Macaca mulatta: one gene and its partners. The protein of the gene in region 2 purifies or fractionates together with the protein of the main gene of each other region. This does not show direct contact. Links are inferred from orthologs where the notes say so. Each region holds a gene or a part of one and is shown on either strand. Other genes may lie near its edges.

What was found.
Region 1: the proteins of OCRL (region 2) and SNX9 purify together in Homo sapiens (co-immunoprecipitation; 3 studies listed by BioGRID and IntAct, with this or other methods). This does not show direct contact. The link is inferred for Macaca mulatta from reciprocal best matches to the Homo sapiens genes OCRL and SNX9.
Region 3: the proteins of OCRL (region 2) and RAB1A purify together in Homo sapiens (co-immunoprecipitation; 3 studies listed by BioGRID and IntAct, with this or other methods). This does not show direct contact. The link is inferred for Macaca mulatta from reciprocal best matches to the Homo sapiens genes OCRL and RAB1A.
Region 4: the proteins of OCRL (region 2) and PHETA1 purify together in Homo sapiens (co-immunoprecipitation; 5 studies listed by BioGRID and IntAct, counting the BioPlex papers as one, with this or other methods). This does not show direct contact. The link is inferred for Macaca mulatta from reciprocal best matches to the Homo sapiens genes OCRL and PHETA1.

Annotation. Positions count from the first base shown.
Region 1 is NC_133409.1:76,689,001-76,694,075, forward strand, and holds the start of SNX9 (sorting nexin-9), read left to right. Parts: upstream 1-1,802; 5' UTR 1,803-2,014; coding exon 2,015-2,026; intron 2,027-5,075. UniProt on the Homo sapiens protein: Involved in endocytosis and intracellular vesicle trafficking, both during interphase and at the end of mitosis. Required for efficient progress through mitosis and cytokinesis. Required for normal formation of the cleavage furrow at the end of mitosis.
Region 2 is NC_133426.1:136,000,313-136,005,348, reverse strand, and holds the start of OCRL (inositol polyphosphate 5-phosphatase OCRL), read right to left. Parts: upstream 3,396-5,036; coding exon 3,357-3,395; intron 3,319-3,356; exon of another isoform or gene 3,101-3,318; coding exon of another isoform or gene 3,098-3,100; coding exon 3,018-3,097; intron 1-3,017. UniProt on the Homo sapiens protein: Catalyzes the hydrolysis of the 5-position phosphate of phosphatidylinositol 4,5-bisphosphate (PtdIns(4,5)P2) and phosphatidylinositol-3,4,5-bisphosphate (PtdIns(3,4,5)P3), with the greatest catalytic activity towards PtdIns(4,5)P2.
Region 3 is NC_133418.1:59,625,857-59,630,136, reverse strand, and holds part of RAB1A (ras-related protein Rab-1A), read right to left. Parts: intron 3,004-4,280; coding exon 2,908-3,003; intron 683-2,907; coding exon 551-682; intron 292-550; coding exon 94-291; 3' UTR 1-93. UniProt on the Homo sapiens protein: The small GTPases Rab are key regulators of intracellular membrane trafficking, from the formation of transport vesicles to their fusion with membranes.
Region 4 is NC_133416.1:118,558,940-118,563,984, forward strand, and holds the start of PHETA1 (sesquipedalian-1), read right to left. Parts: upstream 3,129-5,045; 5' UTR 2,886-3,128; intron 190-2,885; 5' UTR 45-189; intron 1-44. UniProt on the Homo sapiens protein: Plays a role in endocytic trafficking. Required for receptor recycling from endosomes, both to the trans-Golgi network and the plasma membrane.

The DNA of each region.
Region 1 (5,075 bases), on a different chromosome or scaffold from region 2:
TTGACTGAGTTCAAATCCTGGTTTTTCCACATACTAGTGTGTACTCTTAGCCAAGTTATTTCTTCCATTGTTTATTAAAACATAACTTCTGTTTTTAAAGGAAGTCATACATACACATGGTCAAAAACTCTGACAACAGGATTTGGCGAAACTTTCTCAGAAGTTTTCTAGGCATGTATAACACATTTCCTTTTTTTTTTTTTTTAACATAAATGTACCATACATCATGTTCTTTTATCTTTCTTAACACCTCTTAAAATATTATTTTCTTACGGGCTTTGTAGTATTTTGTTTGAATGGATGTATCTTATTTACTGAAAGAGTCCTGTTAACAAACACATAGGTTGTTTTCTGGTTGGAGTTAGGACCGAACAATCTTTGATGAACATCTTTGATCACTTGTACAAGTTTGACAGGATAAACTCCTAGGAGGGCTGCTGGGTCCAAGGCTGTGGTCATTTTCGATTTGAGTAAGTATTACCAAAAGCGCAAGTTATTTAAGTGAGCCCTGATTCGCTCTTCTTTGTAAACAGTGGACAATAATGAGCTTCTCAAACGTTTCTTATAAGGATTAAATGAGATGGGGATGTAAAAGCCCAGTATATAGCAAGCAGGCTGTCAATGAATATTGGCCTCCATCTTTTTTTATGGAGAAAGACAACTATTTATGCATATTATGACGACTATAGCTTAACCATGAGCTCAACAAACACAAAAATTCACAGAAAATTCTGCGATACCGTATCTATTTTAAACCACATTATTGAATGTAACTAGTGAAACCTCAGGTCAAATAGAATGTATTTAAGGAGACACAAACTTGACATTAACTCTAAATACCAGAGTATTGAAGATTTGATAGTTGTCTCTTCTTACAAATATATCCCTCATAATAAAAAAGCACTCCACTAATATGCCAATTATGATACATCTTCCAGTTGTGTTTTGTCCTTGAGCGAAAAATCTTGCTGCTCAATTCAAGTCATTCGTTTATTCATAACACCCATATATATATCTCCAACTCTGGAGAGAAACACTGACAGAAAGATGGAAAATTTTAGAGCCCTCATTTCCACTTCAGAGAGCCTGTTGTCCCCTAAACCTCTTGGGCCCTCGGGCATTTTTAAACTTATCAAGATTCCAGAATGAGGTTAATGGGACGTCACAAAACGAACCCCCCACCGTCCCGTCCCAGGGGCTCCAAGCCAGGACCCCAGCCTGAGGGAGCCTCCGGGCAGGAGAAAGAGGCCCAGGAAGCCATTGCTCCGTTCCTTCCCGGCTGTTTACGTGGCACTCAAAGTACTCGGCCAAGGGCACGGCGACCCCGCAACACCCTCGGCGTGGGGCAAAGACAGCGGGGTTGCGGGGCTCCTGTCTGCCGGGAGCGTCGAGAGTTCCTGCCCCCCCGCCCGCCTCATGCACGGAAAGCCCCGAGCCACGGCGTGCGGCGCTGGCCGAGCGTGAACCGGAGTCGGGTTCGGCTCCCCCGAGCGGCTGTGCGGGCCGCGGAGCGCTTCCTGTGGGGCGGCCACGCAGGGTGCGGGCCATGGCCCGGGGCGCCTGTCCGGATCCCGCCGCCGCGCGGGACGCAGCCCCCGTCCTCGACCCAGGGCGCCCGGCGGCGGCGGCAGCGACTGCCCGGGGCGGCGGCGCGGCGCGGCGCAGCGCGGGGGCGGCCAGGAGGCGAGGAGGCCGGGCCGCGGCCGAGGGCCCAGGGCGCGCTTCCGCCGGGCGCCGCGCGCGCCGCGGTAAAAGGGAGGCTCGGCCGGCAGGGGCGGGGGCCGCGCAGCCGGGGACTTTCAGGAACTGCAGGAGCGGGCGGCGCGGGAGTAGCCGAGCGCCCAGCGGCTGGGCCTGAGCGTCGAGACTCGGGGCCGAGGCGGAGGAGCGGCCGCCGCGCCGGGGCCCAGCCGGAGCCGCCGCCCTCGCCCTTGCCTTCGTCCGCGCGGCTCAGAATCACCATCCGCGGCGCGGGAGACAAGCCGGCCGTCCCGGGCCGGGGGACCCGCCCGCCATGGCCACCAAGGTGAGGGGCGCGCAGCGCAGGCCCGGCCGGTCGCTCAGGCCCGCGGCGGCGCGGGGACGGTCGGGGCTGGGGCCGCGGGGAGGGTTGGGGCCGGGGGCGGCCGAGGGGCCACTCTGCGTCCTCGGTGGGGTCCCCGGGCGGGTCCGCGGCCCAGCCAGTCCCTTCTGGGCATGGGTGCGGCGGACCGTGCAGACGGCCGGGATCGCGCCGGGGGAGGGCGTCGGGTCTGGGCGCGGGTTGGGACCCCGGGTGCAGCGACGTTTGGGAAGTTTGCACCTGAGCTTGGGCTGCGGCGGGCTCGCCGGGAGGGGCCGCGAGAGCGGGACGGAAACTTCCCGCAGCCCGGGGAGGCCCCCGAGGCGACAGGCTCTCTGTGGCGTCCGGTGTCCCCGCGGCGTCTGGCGTCCCCGCCGCCCCCACGTCCCCTCCCGCTGCCGCCCAGGGGACCCTCGGCCCCGTGGGGCGGGTGGGGGTCGAGACCTCAGCAGAGAGGACGCTGCGCTTCCCGTCCCGGCCTGCGGGAGCTCGCGGCCGGGGAGAGACAGAGGCTGGGACACCCCGCGCCCCTCTGCCTTCTCTGCTGTTATTTTTTTCTTTTGTTTTGCTACCTGCTCAGTGTGAATGGTATTGCCGGCATGAATAAAATATCAAGAGGGAAATGACTGTGCTTTCGATTACGTGTTTGCCTAAAAAAGGCCCAGGCCCGAATTACGTGGTGGAACTTTGACTCCTGCTTGGTAATTGGCTAGGAGCGGTGGTTTGCTTGTTTTGCATTATTGTTTATGAAATTAGCAGTCACTCTTTGCTACCTGAATCTTCAAAAGCCACCCTCCCCCACTCCTTTTCCTTGGGCGTTTTCAGTAGTTACTTGGTGTAAAATAGTCACTGGGGAGTCATGGTCGCGGAAGGAGGACCTGGGGGAGGAGGCTCTGTACCTGAACCATTAACTGTTCTGTGATACGCTGTGAGGAGTAGGTTTACTTTTGCACTTAGTTTTTGTAGTGTCACTTTATTAGCATCAGCACCCCTTTCCCTATTTTTTTTTTTTTTTTTTGAGATCTCTGACTACTTTTGGGTTGCTAGAAACGTTATTTTTTATATTTCGATAGCTATTTGCTTTTTTTGGTGGAGTGTTAAGGTAGGAAATGGTAAGAAATGTGAAATCTGTTTAAAAGATCAGCGTTGCTTGACTTCGGTCTGCTAGATGTCCTGTGGTAAATTTTGTGCTCTGAATCCATCTAGGTGCAGCGTTTATAGAGAAGTGGGGATTCTCCTCCAGGGAACCTGTTGCTGCTGTTACTGAAATAATTACCTTCTTGTTAATATATTATTGCCTGTGCTGTGCTTTGGTTTTATTAATGTGATAGAACTTGCCACCTTTTGAACTTATTAATTTTGTGTTGACCTTTTTAAAAATAAAACTTAGGCCAAGGATTTCTAAGGAAATTTGATTTTGAGGTTTGTTGCCAGACACTCCAGAAATTACCAGTTACACATCCTAGTACACGCTCATCTTGCAACCTTAACAGCGGTTTATAGGCTGGGCGCGGCGGCTCACTCCCACCTGTAATTCCAGCACTTTGGGAGGCCGCGGTGGGCGGTTCACCTGAGGTCGGAGCTCCATACAGCCTGGCCAATATGGTGAAACTCCGTCTCTACTAAAAATACAAAAATTAGCTGGGCGTGGTGGCGCGCGCCTGTAGCCCCAGCTGCTCCGGGAGGCCGAGGCAGGAGAATCGCTTGAACCCGGGAGGCGGAGGTTGCAGTGAGCCAAGATGGCGTCGCTGCACTCCGGCCTGGGCTACAGAGCGAGGAGACTCCGTTTGAAAAAAAAAAAAAAAACCAAGGCGGTGTATGACATAGAGATCTGTCCAGTGGTGGTCTGTGTGTTTTTACACTCTGGTCTACTGAGGCATGTTACCTGTACTGTCCTTTAAGTGGAATGCAGTTTAGCAACTAGTGCAGGTATACGTAGTGAAATTTTTATTTCATAGTTAAGCCTGAACTTAATTTTTTTTTTCAAAAAATTGAAAAGTGGTTCTTGTATATTAATCTTGAATTGCATGTGTCTTTGCTTAAACACGAGCCTTAAAACATGCATAAGCACTTCCTACTTCGTTATCTACACCACTCCGAAGGCAAATTCCAGTAATTCTGTTAGTTTCTTTCGCTGTCTAATCACTGTTCCACATGGTGCTCATTTCCATGTCTACATTGTGACAGACCATTTCCATTTTAAGAAAAAGAAGAGCAATGAAGCAGTTGTTAGAAGAAGACCCTTCCTTAGTTTTCTGACATCCTGGTGATACTTGGGTCAAACCAAAGTCTCATTTTTTAATTGTCCCCAGAGAGACAAGTTGCTACTTTCCTCACTTGCCCCATATACACACCCCTTCCCCACACCTGAGTAGTTCTGTTTTTTTTCTTCGTCTTCTTCAAGGGGTGGGGAGAATGTGCTTAGTAGTAATGACTAATTTTTAATAAATGGCTCCAGTGGCACTCAGGCTGTTGCTGTAAGTATTAAGTGATGAAAAGTAAATTCAGGATCTGGATATTTTAGGGGATGTTCATTTCCCTTTGAATTTACCAGAAACTTGGCTATAGTATCTTCAGATACAATTTTCTTGTTTGTTCTTAAGTATTTTCTTAAGGATGTGGTTATCACTGAACTATTGGCATTTTAAAAAACTGCACTAGTATATTTTACAATAGAAAAGGAAATTATCATTTAGAAGAAGTAGTTTAGTTGAACAGTCCTTCACTGCTAAGGAAAGTTAATCAGGGCCAGGTGCGGTGGCTCACACCTGTAATCCCAGCACTTTGGGAAACCGAGGCAGGCGGATCACGAGGTCAGGAGGTCGAGACAATCCTGGCTAACACAGTGAAACTCCGTCTCTACTAAAAGTACAAAAAAAAAAAAAAAATAGCTGGGCGTGGTGGCGGTCACCTGTAGTTCTAGCTACTCGGGAGGCTGGGGCAGGAGAATGGTGTGAACCCGGGAGGCAGAGCTTGCAGTGAGCCAAGATCGCGCCACTGCACTCTAGCCTGG
Region 2 (5,036 bases):
ACAGATGCTCAACAAATACTGGTTGAATAAATCATCTAGCTTAATTAAGCTATAAGCAGAGGTGAATTTTAAAATGAAACTGTTCAACTTCTGACATTAAAATGTCATCATTTTGAAGGGTTTGATTTCTATTTTGTTGTCTTTTGGGGTGCTTGTTGCTTTTGCTTTTTGCATTTTCAAATGTGTTAACTTTGAAGAGGATAACCTGGGATAGGATAAGTAATTACTTAGATAGAACTAAGGGAAATAAAAGTATTAATGCTTCTTTTCTGCTGTGATCCTCTTGCCTAATTTGCAGGGGTTTGTATTCTAACATGACTACAGGAATATGGGGCAGGCCCCTTTCAATCTGGAAAGTTCATGAGTTGAGTGGAGAGTCCTATAAACACAGATGGAAACCAGAAACCAGATAAAAGGCTGAGAAATCAAAGGTTCAGGAGGAAGAGCTTACTTTGAGGAAGATAAACACAAACCACTAAAATCTCAAAACATGTAAACAAGATACGGTGTTGAACATCTAGCAGTAAAGCTTCATGTGAACAGTACTATTAAAAACTATTACAAAACAGAAATAAACTGAGAATTTAAGTGAATTCCACAAACATTTATTGAGTATTTACTACGTGTTACCCACTAAATTACGATGAAAGAGTAGGGCTAAGAATAAGCATAAAAATTCTACCTGAGTGTAATTATTCATTTCAGAATATGAAGATTAGAAATAATTGGCATACAGCAAAACAATGGAATTCAGAATTTGGTAGTTGTCAAACAGAAAAGAGTGACAAATCCTGAATGCCAACTCTGCCTTATCCCTAGGAAACGCTTTGATTTGTTCAAGGAAGGTAAAAGGTCAAACAGGCTTTTTCATAATCTATTATCCTTGAAAAAGATGAATCTTAGTGTTTGATTCCCTGTTTCCAAAAAAACCTGATTTTTAATTGTAATTTTGGTCAAGTAAATTTCCCATGGTTGACAGTAGGAACCACAGACGTAAAGATTTAAGACAGGCTTCAAGTTCTAGGATAAAAAGGCCAAAAGTAAAAAGTTCTGGACGCTCGAGTCAGAGAAGGCACCAGAGAGACAAGAACATGAGGATTACAGATGGTATTATGGTATTAGGTGTCTCCAGTAAATGCTTTCAAGAGAAATTTCTCAGTGTAATTCTGAGACATGTTACATAGGATCAGATCTCAGGTATTCTACTTCCTAATTGCAAACAAGTGACTTAACCTGTCTGTGCTTCAATTTTTGTATCTATAAAAGGGGGATAATGATATTACTATTTTATCCCTCGCACGTGGATTAAATGAACTAACTAATGAAAAGTGCTTAGAACAGTACCTGGCACATAAGCAGTCATTGAGTGTTAGTTATATAGCAACAACTGTATCAGTTGTTAGTTTATATATAAACTATAGTTTATATATATTTAAAACTATATAGTTTATAAACTGTTAATATAGCAACAACTATATTAGTTGTTAGTTATATAGTTGTTAGTTTTATAGTGTTATTTATATATTAGTGTTAGTTATATAGCAACCCCATACCCCCACATATACCCCCAACTATACCCCCATAACTTACACAGAATTGGAACACAAGACTTCCTTATTAGCTCAACAGAGTTCCAAATCTACTAATCCGAGGGACCACCTTCTGGGCTGTGGTCATCTCAGTAATGTAGCTATTCTATTCAATCTTCAGATTTTTGTTTTTACATTAGAGGAAACCAAGGCACAGAAGTTTTACTGGTTTGCTCAAGGGTCACCTCTCTCTAACCCACTCTAGCCTTTGGAAATGTTAGTGGTGTTCCACTTTTCTGCTGAATTTAGTTTTATTAAATTCTGAATTTAGTTTCATTAAACTAGTCTTCCAGGGTTGGATGAAATCTGGGTTTGATGAACTTCCCAATAGAGCTGACTAAGCAGGACCTAGGAAGGAGCTACTTCATAGAACTAGCTGACATCCAGTTACAGTGGCACCAATAGTCTCAGAAAAGAGCAGGTTGGGCCAGTGGGGATTTCTTCCATGTAAATCAGACAGCATAGACACAGAGGATCTAAAAGTGGGGACTGAGGAAATTGGTTTTAGGCAGAACCCAATGTTGGGAGATGGCAAGATTTAAGTGAACAATTTTTAAACTGGGAAGGAATATTATGCCAAGAAGCCAGTGAATATCCAAGGGAGGTGTCTTGGGCACACAGGGATAGGGACCTATGATATGTAAAGGTCACCATGGATACTTTTGAGATGAGGCATTAGTGACAATAGAGGTTAGCAGCTATGGTGATAGCTTATCAAAATAATCTTTTGATCAATCATTCAACAGTATTTACTGAGTTCCTATGTCTAAGGCAGAGAGGAAGGTGACACACTGATAAAATACTGTTATTTCTATCTCTACACATTTCATTACATTTTCTAACAGTCAAATCAGTAAGTGAGGCAGTTTCTGGCCTACACTAAACCATTACTGAATTAATGAATATGCCTTCAAACAAGTGGGATAAGGGGGTAGGGAGACTGGAGAAACCAGCTGAATAGGGTTAAGACAAGTCTGTAACGTGAACAATGAGGCATTTCCATAGCATTTTTACGTTTTGTAAACCACTCTCGCATTTATTTTTCCCCCACTTATAACTCCAAAGGCTATAAGGTAAGGCAGTTAATGGTTTTATTAAACTGAAGAGTTAACTTTGGCCCAGAAAGCTTTATTGACTTGCCCAACGTTACACAACACATGTCAGTTGCAGGGGCAGGAACTAAGAACCCAGGCTTCCTGCTTCCCCGCCCATTCAGTCCTTCCACTGAGCCACACTGCCAAGCAAGATCCAGAGGCTTGGAAGTTGAGGACAAAGCCCCGAGGTTAGAGAGCACTGGCACTTCACACCTGGACCTGAACCTGTTGCCCGTGTGGCCTTAGTAGGAGGACAGTGGGTGACCCGTCGCGGTTTGGGGTTGGGAGGTAATGGCAGGCTCACCTCCTCTGTGGGAATCAGGTGGTTACTTACTCATATTGCCCGTTCCTCTGGGCTAGGGTCAGGGCGCAGGGCTCCCGGAGAGGACCCTTCATCTCCATACCCTCGACAGTATGCGGGCGCTAGTCAAGGGTCTCCTGTGGAAGCGCGGTGGGGAGGAGTGGTGCACTGCGGGGCGAAGGGGGTCTTCCACCCCCCGCCCCGGCCGCCCTCACCCGCCCCGCCCGGCTTCGCCTCCCGCGCCGGCCCCCTCCCCCACTCTGCTTGGCCTCTGGGCCACCCGGTTGCCCCGCCCCGCCGTGTTCCGCAGGGCCCCCGACCCCCACCCGCGGCCCTGCGCGGTCTCCCCTCCCCCTTCTCTCCGGCGGATACGGCAAGGGGCTGGGCTCCGACCGGGAGCGGCGGCTCCATCCAGGCGGCCTCCGGGCTCGGCGGGACAGCGGACTGCGGGCGGATCCGACGACAGTGGCTCCCGAGTCCCCACACCCACCCACCCACCTCGGCTGCGTGTCGTTTGAGGAACCGCTCCGCGCCGGGCGCCGGGCGCCGGGAGCCGGGAGCCGGTAGCGGGGAGCTGGGAGCTGAGAATCTGACCCGAGAGAGAGCGGCGCCTCGCGCCCCCGCCAGTTTTCCAGGCCGCCGCAGATTCCGCTCCCTGCGGCCAACCTGCGGAACTGCAGCGAGAGACCCGACGGACTGGGGGCGTCCCTACTACGTCCAGCAAGGAATGGGGTTTAAATGCCACCTGTGACATCAAAATTGTTCTGAGGACTTTGAAGATGGCCACAGAAACAAAACACAGTCACACCTATGGGGGATCTCAAACCTGTTGTGTCAATACGACCCACATCATCCATATATGAAACAATATATATATAAAATATATAAAATTTATATATTATATAATATATATTATACATAATATATATTATATATGTAATATTATATATAATATAATATATATTATATATAATATAATATATATTATATATGTAATATTATATATATATATTTCTTAAGGTTATAATGCTCTGTGTTGGTTATCCTACCATTTCCCTTCCTCTTCTTTCTTCTATGCCCTATATCAGAGAATTCCCCAAAGCCCAGACCTTTGCTCCTCCTCTGCATCCCCTCCAGGTCACCTCTAACTAGACAATGTCCAAATATATATCCCTGGCCCAGACCTGTTACCTAATAGAGTCCATTGTTAATACATCACTACGTCACAAAACTAACTCATTATCATTTCACTTAAAAGCCATATATTGTCTTCCCCCTCCTAATCTCTATATCCAATCAGTCAACAAACCCTGTTAATATTTTACATGGAATTACTTTTAGATTCCTTATTTTCTTTCCATTCGCACTGCCATAACTTTATTGTAAGCCCTTGTGATAGCCTATCTGGGTTATTGCATTTTTCTTTAAATAAATCCTATTGGGTTTACTCTGTCCTTTGACCTGTTTACTCTGTTGACAACCATAACAATATTTTTCCCAAAGTAATTTTTCGATTGTGTTATTCATTTGTTCCAGAATATATAATACACTAAGTATCAAGACTGACTGTAAGTCTGTAGTAATTAAAAGTATACTATGGAGATAGACAATCAATGAAACACAATATAAAGCCCCCAAACAGACCACACATATATGGAAGGTTGATATGCAGCGTGTGGGACATTTCAAATCAGTGGGGAAATAATGGATTATCCACTAAGTGGTAGTAGGACTACTGCTTATCCATATGGAAAACTATAAAATTAGACCCCTACCTCTAACCATGGAAGAAAAATCAATTCTAGGTGGATTAAAGATCTAAATGTGAAAAGCAAAACTTTATAACTCTCAGAAAAAAGCTGAGTATCTTTATGAGCTTGGAATATGGAATGAGAATAAGACATTTAGCTAAATAAAATTTCAAAATGTGTGTACTTCAAGACAATATAAACAAGTTAAAAGACAAACTGGCCTGCACAGTGGCTCATGCCTGTAATCCTAGCACTTTGGGAGGCCAAGGCGGTAGGATCACTTTAGCCCAGGAGTTCAAGA
Region 3 (4,280 bases), on a different chromosome or scaffold from region 2:
GCAGCTACATACAGTACAATTCAGGCAATTTTGTTTTTTCACTTGGGTTCAGATTGCAAATTCATTGCTGTGAGAAAAGGACGGAGGCAAATTTTAGCAGCAACCTCCACCTGACTGCTTGACCGGAGTGCTCTGAATTTTAACATTGGACTTCTCAGCACCACCAGCTGTTGCTCCGGGACCCATTCGCTTTTTAATCTCAGCTGCCATCGTCATGAAAGACTGTTCTACATTCGTTGCATTCTTAGCACTGGTTTCCAAAAACGGAATTCCAAGGGAATCAGCAAATTCCTAAGAGAATAATGAGGCACAATTAACACTGAAAAATCTTTTTCACTACTACTTAGTGCATTTCTACCATCCATAATGGAGCATGAGGAACTAATAAGTTCATTGGATCCAAACAGATGTTACACGAATTGTCACTGTCACAGTATTCTAGTGCACATATTTTTAAAAGTTAAGGTGGCTGTGGCCTTAGTATTACTGCAGAGCCCATACATAATTCAACACCTTCAAATTCAGTATGAAAATTAAACTTTAAACATACCTTTGCTGTTGTGTAGTCTACTACTTTCTTTGTGGTCAGATCACATTTGTTCCCTACCAACAATTTGTTGACATTTTCACTGGCATAACGATCTATTTCCTGCAGCCACTGTTTAACATTATTGAAGGACTCCTAAAAAGACATTTGAAAGTTTGATAATATGGTTCTGGAATAAATGGAAACAACCTTCCTGACCTAACAGACAAATAACAAAGAGCTAGTGAGACAACTCTAGGTACAAAATAACCACTGCTAAGGAGTGAAGGGGATTTTTTTTTTTTTTTTTTGAGACAGGGTCTTGCTGTGTTACCTAGGCCAGGGCGCAGTGGCACAATCACAGCTCACTGCACCCTCGACCTCCCAAGCTCAAGCCATCCTCCCGCTTCAGCCTCCGGGATAGCTGGGACTACAGGCACATGCCACCACACCTGGCTATTTTTTTTTTTTGGACTTCTTGTATAGATGGGGTTTCACTATGTTGCCCAGGCTGGTCTCAAACTCCTGAGCTCAAACAATCGGCCCACCTTGGCCTCAAAAATGCTGAGTTTACAGGTGTTAGCCACTGTGGCTGGCCGTAAACAGATATATTAAAATGACTATAAATATCTAAATGATGACAAACTAGAATTTACAGGCTTAATGATGAAAATACCTTATTTGAAAGGGACAGCTTAATATTAAACTGCAACTCAGGCAAACCCAACTGCTTTGGAATATGCAATTTAAATGTACTACAAAACCTGGTTTTGAAATTTGATAATTTTTTTTTTTGGGGGGGGGGGGGAGACAAAGTCTTGTTCTGTCATCCAGGCTGGAGTGCAATGGCACGATCTCGGCTCACTGCAACCTCTGCCTCCTGGGCTCAAGTGATTCTCCTGTCTCAGCCTCCCAAGTGACTGCTAGGATTACAGGCACGCGCCCCCACACCTGGCTAATTTTTGTCACGCCTGGCTAATTTTTGGTTTGTTTTTTTGTTTTTTCTTTTGGAGACAGAGTCTGGCTCTGTCACCCAGGCTGGAGTGCAGTGGCCGGATCTCAGCTCACTGCAAGCTCCGCCTCCCGGGTTTCCGCCATTCTCCTGCCTCAGCCTCCTCCCGGGTTTACGCCATTCTCCTGCCACCTCGCCCGGCTAGTTCTTTGTATTTTTTAGTAGAGACGGGGTTTCACCGTGTTAGCCAGGATGGTCTCGATCTCCTGACCTCGTGATCCGCCCGTCTCGGCCTCCCAAAGTGCTGGGATTACAGGCTTGAGCCACCGCGCCCGGCCTAATTTTTGTACTTTTAGTAGAGATGGGGTTTTGTCATGTTAGCCAGCCTGGTCTCTAACTCCTGGCCTCAGGTGATCCACCCGGCTCGGCCTCCCAAAGTGTGGGGATTACAGGCGTGAGCCACTGCACCCGGCTTGAAATTTGATAAAATTTTGGTTTATGAATAAGATGACCTACTGTTACTACTAGACATGTCAAAATGTTATTAAATATACTTATTTTCTTATCCACAGTCATATTTACAGGAGGAAAGTTTTCATTTAAAAGTATTTCACGGCAATATGACTAGAGATTTTTTTAAACTAGCATCATTTTTTTCTCTTGCAGATATCACCCACCCAGCACTTCTAATGGCACTGAATCAAAATGTTTACATGTAAGTTATCTCCTAATTAGCTATGATTTCATATTAGAGGTGAGATTTAACATTTGCCAAAAGAAAAATAAATTCCAATTTTGAATGTTTCTCTTCTGTCCTTTGATAGAAAGGACATCGAAATCTAAGTTTCTGATTAAAAATAATAATAACAAAAAAACAGTTATGGCCCCTGGAGTACATGCTTCACTGTCCCAGATTGTTCCCTCCATCACCCTGCCCTCTCTCACAGCTAATCTTCAGATACTCATTCTCATACTAAGATCCTCCTACAGCTTATCCTATTCAAATCCTTTTTTTCTGAACCACATCCTCCACAGGCAGAGACCCGCAAATCCCTCTTTTAGCAATTCTGATTACCAGGCCATATTCCTGTTAACAACACCAAGAATACAATATAAGTCAAGCAACTCACGATTCCCTACAAACTCTTGCCTATATGTTAGAGTCTTGGCTATTTGATCAGTTATTTAGTTCATAATAAATACAACCAGAATCCCTTGAAAGCAAATGTAAAACTTATTACTAATGTTCTATTTATTACAGGAAAAAAAATGTCTTTTAAGTGATTCACATTTATATTTGAGTGGACAAAGTTTTCTGCCATAAAGTTAATACTGATGGCTTATATGCGAAGTAGTAAATGAATCTTACATTAATCGAATAATGACTTCCTACTTGGTCACTGTAACACAATCTCCTCTTGGAACTTACCTGATCTGTCACATCATACACAACTATGATGCCATGGGCTCCTCTGTAATAACTGGAGGTGATTGTTCGAAATCTTTCCTGGCCTGCTGTGTCCCACTATTACAAAACAATCAAGAAATCCAAACAATTCCATTAAAATAAAGTTGGGGAAAAGTGTAGGAGGGAGGGGAAATAGTTTAGTTTTCATAACTGTGGAGATTATCAGGATGTGATATAGAAACATTAGTCCTCAACTCATACCACTATATTGCACAGTAATAAGTACCTGGAAGTCCAGAAAAGAAGGTAGTACCTACAACTGAGCTTACGATAATACTAAAATTACAAGCTGTTGAGAGCAGGAAGTATGTCATACTTTTCACATTCCCTACCGCCTTTAGCACCATGTTGAGGAATGTCACTGGCCTAAAGCCCTTGAACACAGAACTCTTCCATGTAAGACAAACTCACTTGCTTGCACATTCTACCATGATTAAATTAGCATTGGAGGGACCTGATTCAAATAACTACCAGTCAAGACAGAACTTTAATTATCCCAAGCAGGTGTCTTTTTCTTCCCCCCTTCAAGCAGGGTCTCAGATCTGTCATCCAGGCTGAGTGCAGTGGCATGATCATGGCTCACTGCAGCTTCAACCTCCCCAGCTCAAGCAATCCTCCCACCTGAGCCTCCTGAGGAGCTGGGACTATAGGTACATGCCACCACACTCAGCTAATTTTTTCTTTTTTGTAGAGACGGAGTTTTGCTATATTGCCCAGGCTGGTCTCAAATTCCTGGACTCAAGCAATTCTCCCAAAGTGCTGGCATTACTGGCATGAGCCACCATGCCTGGCCAGGTGTTGTCTTCATCCTAGAGAAAACAATGTAAGGAAGATGATTCCAAACACTTTTATAAAATGTATTTTAAGAGCAACTTAACTGCCTTTCAACTAGTTAGGCTCAAATTCCAAAAACAAATGCTAACATTATTGCATTATAGTTCTGGGTTTAAAAAAACTGTTGGGGCCGAGCGCGGTGGCTCAAGCCTGTAATCCCAGCACTTCAAGAGGCCGAGACAGGTGAATCACGAGGTCAGGAGATTGAGACCATCCCGGCTAACACGGAGAAACCCCGTCTCTACTAAAAAACACAAAAAACTAGCCAGGCGAGGTGGCGGGTCCCAGCTACTCAAGGGGCTGAGGCAGGAGAACGGTGCAAACCTGGGAGGTGGAGCTTGCAGTGAACTGAGATCCGGCCACTGCATTCCAGCCTGGGCAACAGAGCGAGACTCTGTCTCAAAAAAAAAAAAAAAAAAAAAAAAACTGTTGGGACTGGGCACGGTGGCTCACGCCTGTAATCCCAACACTTTGGGAGGCTAAGGCAGTCAGATCACGAG
Region 4 (5,045 bases), on a different chromosome or scaffold from region 2:
TCTCACAGGACCCTCCCGCCCCACTTGCCCAATTCCGCTCCTACCTCTCAGGCCACCACTCGCCTCCCTGCCCTCTGTTCAGCTCCAGCCTCAGCTTGCTCTTCTCTGGATTCAAATGTCAGCTCTGCAGCATCTGGGCTGGGGAACCCCAGGCAGGCTATTAACCTCTCTGGGCCTCCGTTTCTGCATCTGTAAAATGAGATCGTAACAGTGCCTAAGTCAGGGCTGTTGTGACAATGATACAGTGACTACACGGACTTTGCGGAGCACGGGGCCAGGCACACAACGCCTGCTGAGCACAGCTGCAGTTCACATTCTTCTTGGCTTTTCCCCAAACGTCCCCGTGTCATACTTCTGATCTCAGCAAATGGCCCTTGGTTTCCCTCTCACCCCCACATCTGATCACATATCAAGTCCAGTTGATCCCGCCTCTCCAGCGTCTTCCAAATCAGTTGCCTAATCTGTCCACTCCACCTCCCCATTCTAGGCCCCATCACCATTCACTGGAACAGCTGCTGTAGCCTCCACACAAGTCTCCTTGCCCCCCCATCCATGTTCCTTAAGGTAAGATCCAAGCCTCCTTCCTAGGCTCTTCTCCGATCCACACTGAAATCCACTCCCCACAGAGGGATCCTGTGAAAATTAAGTCCAATCACACTCCTCCTCTGCTCTAAACCCTCCCATGGCTCCCTACTTCTCTCAGCATAAAATTAAATCCTTAGGCAGGGTGCGGTGGCTCACACCTGTAATGCTAGCACTTTGGGAGGCTGAGGCCGGAGGATCGCTTGAGTTAGAGACCAGCCTGGACAACACAGCAAGACCCTACCTCCACAAAAAATAGAAAAAAAATAGCTGGGCATGTTGACACAAGCCTCTAGTCCTAGCTGTCTGGGAGGCTAACATGGAAGGACCCCTTGAACTTGGGAGTGATCATGCCACTGCACTCCAGCCTGGGCGACATAGTGAGATCCTGCCTCAAAAAAAAAAAAAAAAAAAAAAAAAAAAAAACAAAAAACAGTCCAAGCCTCCCATGGCTTCCAAGTTCCCTTTTCCTACCTCTTTCCCCCTTGTTCACTCAGCTCCAGCCATCCTGGCCTCCTTTCTGTTCCTTAAATACACCAGATACATCCCCACCTCCAAGACTTGGTCCCGGCTGTCTGCTTGCAGGTCTTCACAAGGCCAGTTCCCCATCCTTTGGTCTCAGCCTAGCTGTCACCTCCTCGGAGAGGTGGTCCCTGGCCACCCTATGCATAAGAGGCCCTCCAGTCCCTCTCCTGTGCCTCCACCTGAAATTATTAATACCTGGGTCATTTTTGCCTGCTCTAGGAAAGCTGGGGCGTTTGTGGTGTGAATTCCAGTGCCAGGCATGCAGTAGGTGCTCACATAGCTGTTTGATTCATTCTGCAGGTATCTTCTGAAACTTCTCAACGGCCCCATGACAAGGGGTCTCACCCCACATTCACAGATGTGGAAATGGACACAGGGAGGTTCAATAAGTTGGCCAGAGGCATACAACTGTGCCCAGAATCACATGCTCCAGGCAAGCCACCCAAATAAAGGAGCCAATCTTGGGGTCTCTCCACCCCATCAAGGCCAAAGGAATAGCAACTTCCCTCCTGCTCAGCAAACCACCTCCCTGCACTGCCCAGATGGAGGCCAAACTGCTTCAAAGTCACCAGCAGGCACAGGACCCAGCTCTGCCCATGACCCCTGCCTCCACCAGAACAGGGAAGGCAGGAAACTGCAGGGGCACAGGCTCCAGCCTTGCCTGGAGCGAAGGCCTGGTCCCTGCCTTATCTCCCCACACTGTTTTCCAAGAAGTTCAGAGTCCGCTGTGGGCACTGCTGCTGATTCAACAGCCCAGGGCCAGACAGGAAGCTGGAGGGAGCCTGGCCCCGTGCTGCTCCCAAGGCAAAGTTCCTGCCTCTGCAGGTCCAGGCTGGAAGGCCTTGGACAAGTCGTTTCACCTTTCCAAGCCTCAGTTTCCTCATCTGTTAAAATGGGCTGTGTGGCAAGGGTCCATGAGCTAAAAGAAGGAAAACCCACTGGCAAACTATGGGAAATGGATTGCAAATATTAGCTGCTGTGAGTCGGGGTTTTCTCAGCCTCATCTGCAAAATGGGGATGTTAACTTCCATCCCTCTATGGGCTGAGTGAATTTACTCCTGAAGAGTCATTTTGCAAAATGCTTTCAGGGAAAGAGCTGTCAAAAAGGCAAATAATTCATCCAAGATCTCCAGGGGCACAGCTGGCCTGGAACCCAGGTCTCTGGGGAGACTGAAGCATGGCATTTTGGCACTCACTTTAACGAAAGAAGCCAGAACCACAGGTCCTGGGGTTGAATCCAACTGCCCTCAGTGTCCCCCAGCAGCGGGCGTGGGGAAGAGGGTGTGGCAGGCACAGGCTGAAAAACATGTGTGCCAAGAACACTGAAGACCAGCCTGTCCGTCAGCGCACCAGCAGGGACCCCAGGGACGTGCCAGCACCGCCGTCCAGACACAGGCAGCCCCCTTGCCCACGGCAGGGGCTGCTTCTCCAGGTGTGGCCCTGCTCCCGGCTGCTCTCTGTCCCTTTGTGTGTTGTGCGTGGCAGCTCTCTTAAGTTCCTTAAAGGACAGTCAGGGCCCCAGATGGGTGATCAGCGGCAGAATAGGGGGCTTGTCCGCAGTCCCCCACAGCGGCAGACGTCCCTATGGGCTGAGGGCGGGGAGGGTGGTCATCGGCCAAGTTCGCCTCGGCAGCTGGAGAAGTGACCACTGGTGCAAAGTCCCAGCAGGGAAGATCCCCGCAGCGCGCTCTCCAGGTGGCCGGGGAACCCCGAGGCCCAGGGCGGCCTGACCCGGGTCCCGTGTCCCGGTGCAGGTCCCCCCGCCAGGCCCGCCTTACCTCGCAGCGCAGGCCTAGGGCGGCGACGGGACGGGAGGCGCGAGGCTGGGGGGTGGCCCGGCCATGGTCCAGGACTGGCCCGGTTGCGGCAACCGCGGCAGCAGCGCTTTGTCTCCTGGGCGGCCGGGGCGGCGCAGCCGCGGGAGAGCTCAGATCCGACGGAAGGAGGCGGGAGCAACCGGACAGTCCGCGACCCACGGGCGCGCCCCTTTAACCCTTCCCAGCCTGCTCGCGCCGGGACCGCCCTCGCGTTCTTCCCGCCTCCCGATTGGCCGGCCCCGAACCGGCACGCCCCCGGATTCGCCACGCCCCCGTGAGCCCGCCCTCGAAATCACTCTTAAAGGGTCCGCTCGTGGCTCTCGACTCCCCAGTGCCCTAGCCCAGAAAAGAGGATTCAAGCCCGGGAAGCTCATTGCGCTTCCAAAGGTAAGGACCGGCTCAGGTCGTGGATTAGCCTGGAAAAAGCATTTGGGGATCCTGGGCGGGCCATTCGCTGAAGTCCTAGGCTTAAGTCCAAACTCCCCCTAGGACAAGGCAGGAGCCAGTAGTTCAAGACCAGCCTGGGCAGCATAGGGAGACCACCATCTCTACAAATAATAAAAGTATTTGCTAAACCTGGGTTGCCAGGTTTAGCAAATTTAACTCCCAGTTATATTAGAAAAATAGCTCTAACTCCTGAAAAATGTGTAATTGGCAGAAAACAGCTGAATCCAGTACATTTCCATAAAGCACTGTTCCATACGGACAGGGCGCCTCGCAAGCTTCCCCTGGCTCCAGGTGAAGAAAGTTCTGGAATGGGGCAGACTTGAGTTCGAGTCGCACTAGGCCACTGAACACTGTGTGAGCTTAGAGAAATCATTTCACTTCTCTAAGCCTCCGTTTCCTCATCCGGAAAATAAAGACGATCATGATATGTAAAGTGCACGGCACAAAAGAAAGCTCTCAAGAAATAGGAATTGCTGTTGTTTTTGCCCTGCCCAAAATAACACAGTTCCAGCTCCTTGAACCCTTCCTTACTTCCTGTTCCTGACGCCTCTTCTCCACCACCTGCCACCTCCCAATCACTATTCAGTCCTGGCCTGAAAGCAGGAAGAACAGGTCAGACCAGGCTCAGCTCTCCATCGTTCAGCCTCTCATTAAGTGCCTACTGTGTGCCAGGCACTGCTCCTGAACCAGGTAAGTAGGTGCAGCCAAGAATCAAGACAACACAAATGAGTTCTGTAAGTTATTCATGCTAGGACTGTACGCTAAGGCAATGGGGCAGAAAGCCTGGGAGTGCAGTTTTTGTTGTTGTTGTTGTTTTTGTTTGTTTGTTTGTGACGCAGGTTGGAGTGCTGTGGCACAATCACAGCTTGTTGTAACCTGAACTCCTGGGTTCAACCAATCCTCCCACCTCAGCCTCCCAAGTAGCTGGGACTACAGGTGTGCGCCACCACACCCAGCTAATTTTTTGTAAATTTTTTGTAGAGATGGAGGGCCTTGCTATCTTGCCTAGGCTGGAAGTGCAGCTTTTAGACAAGGTGCTCAGGGAAGGCCTCTCTGAGGAGCAGAGACCTGGAGGAATGAGGGAGGGAGCCATGTGCTATCTGGAAGAAGGATGTCCCAAGCAGAGGGAACAGCAAGTACAAAAGCCCTGAAATGGGGCCATCCTGGGCATGTTTGAAGAACAACAAGGAGACCAGTAGAGCTAGGTGAGCAAACGGAAGAGTAGTAGGAAAATAGGTCAGGTGGCTGGGCGCAGTGGCTCACGCCTGTAATTCCAGCACTTCGTGAGGCCGAGGTGGGTCAATCACTTGAGGTCAGGAGTTCAAGACCAGCCTGGCCAACATGGTGAAACCTGGTCTCTACTAAAAATACAAAAAAATAAAAATAAAAAAAATAGCCAGGCATGGTTGCGTACACCTGTAATCCCAGTTACTTGGGAGGCTGAGACAGGAAAATCACTTGAACCCGGGAGGCAGAGGTTGCAGTGAGCCAGGATTGCACCACTGCACTGCAGCCTGGGTGACAGAGCAAGACTCTGTCAAAAAAAGAAAAAAAAAACAAAACAATAGATCAGAGATTATTGGCAAAACCAGGTGACCTAGGGGCTTAAGGACCAGAGGAAAGATTTTGCTTTCACTCTAAGAAGAATAGGGAGCCATGGGAAGGTTTTGAGCA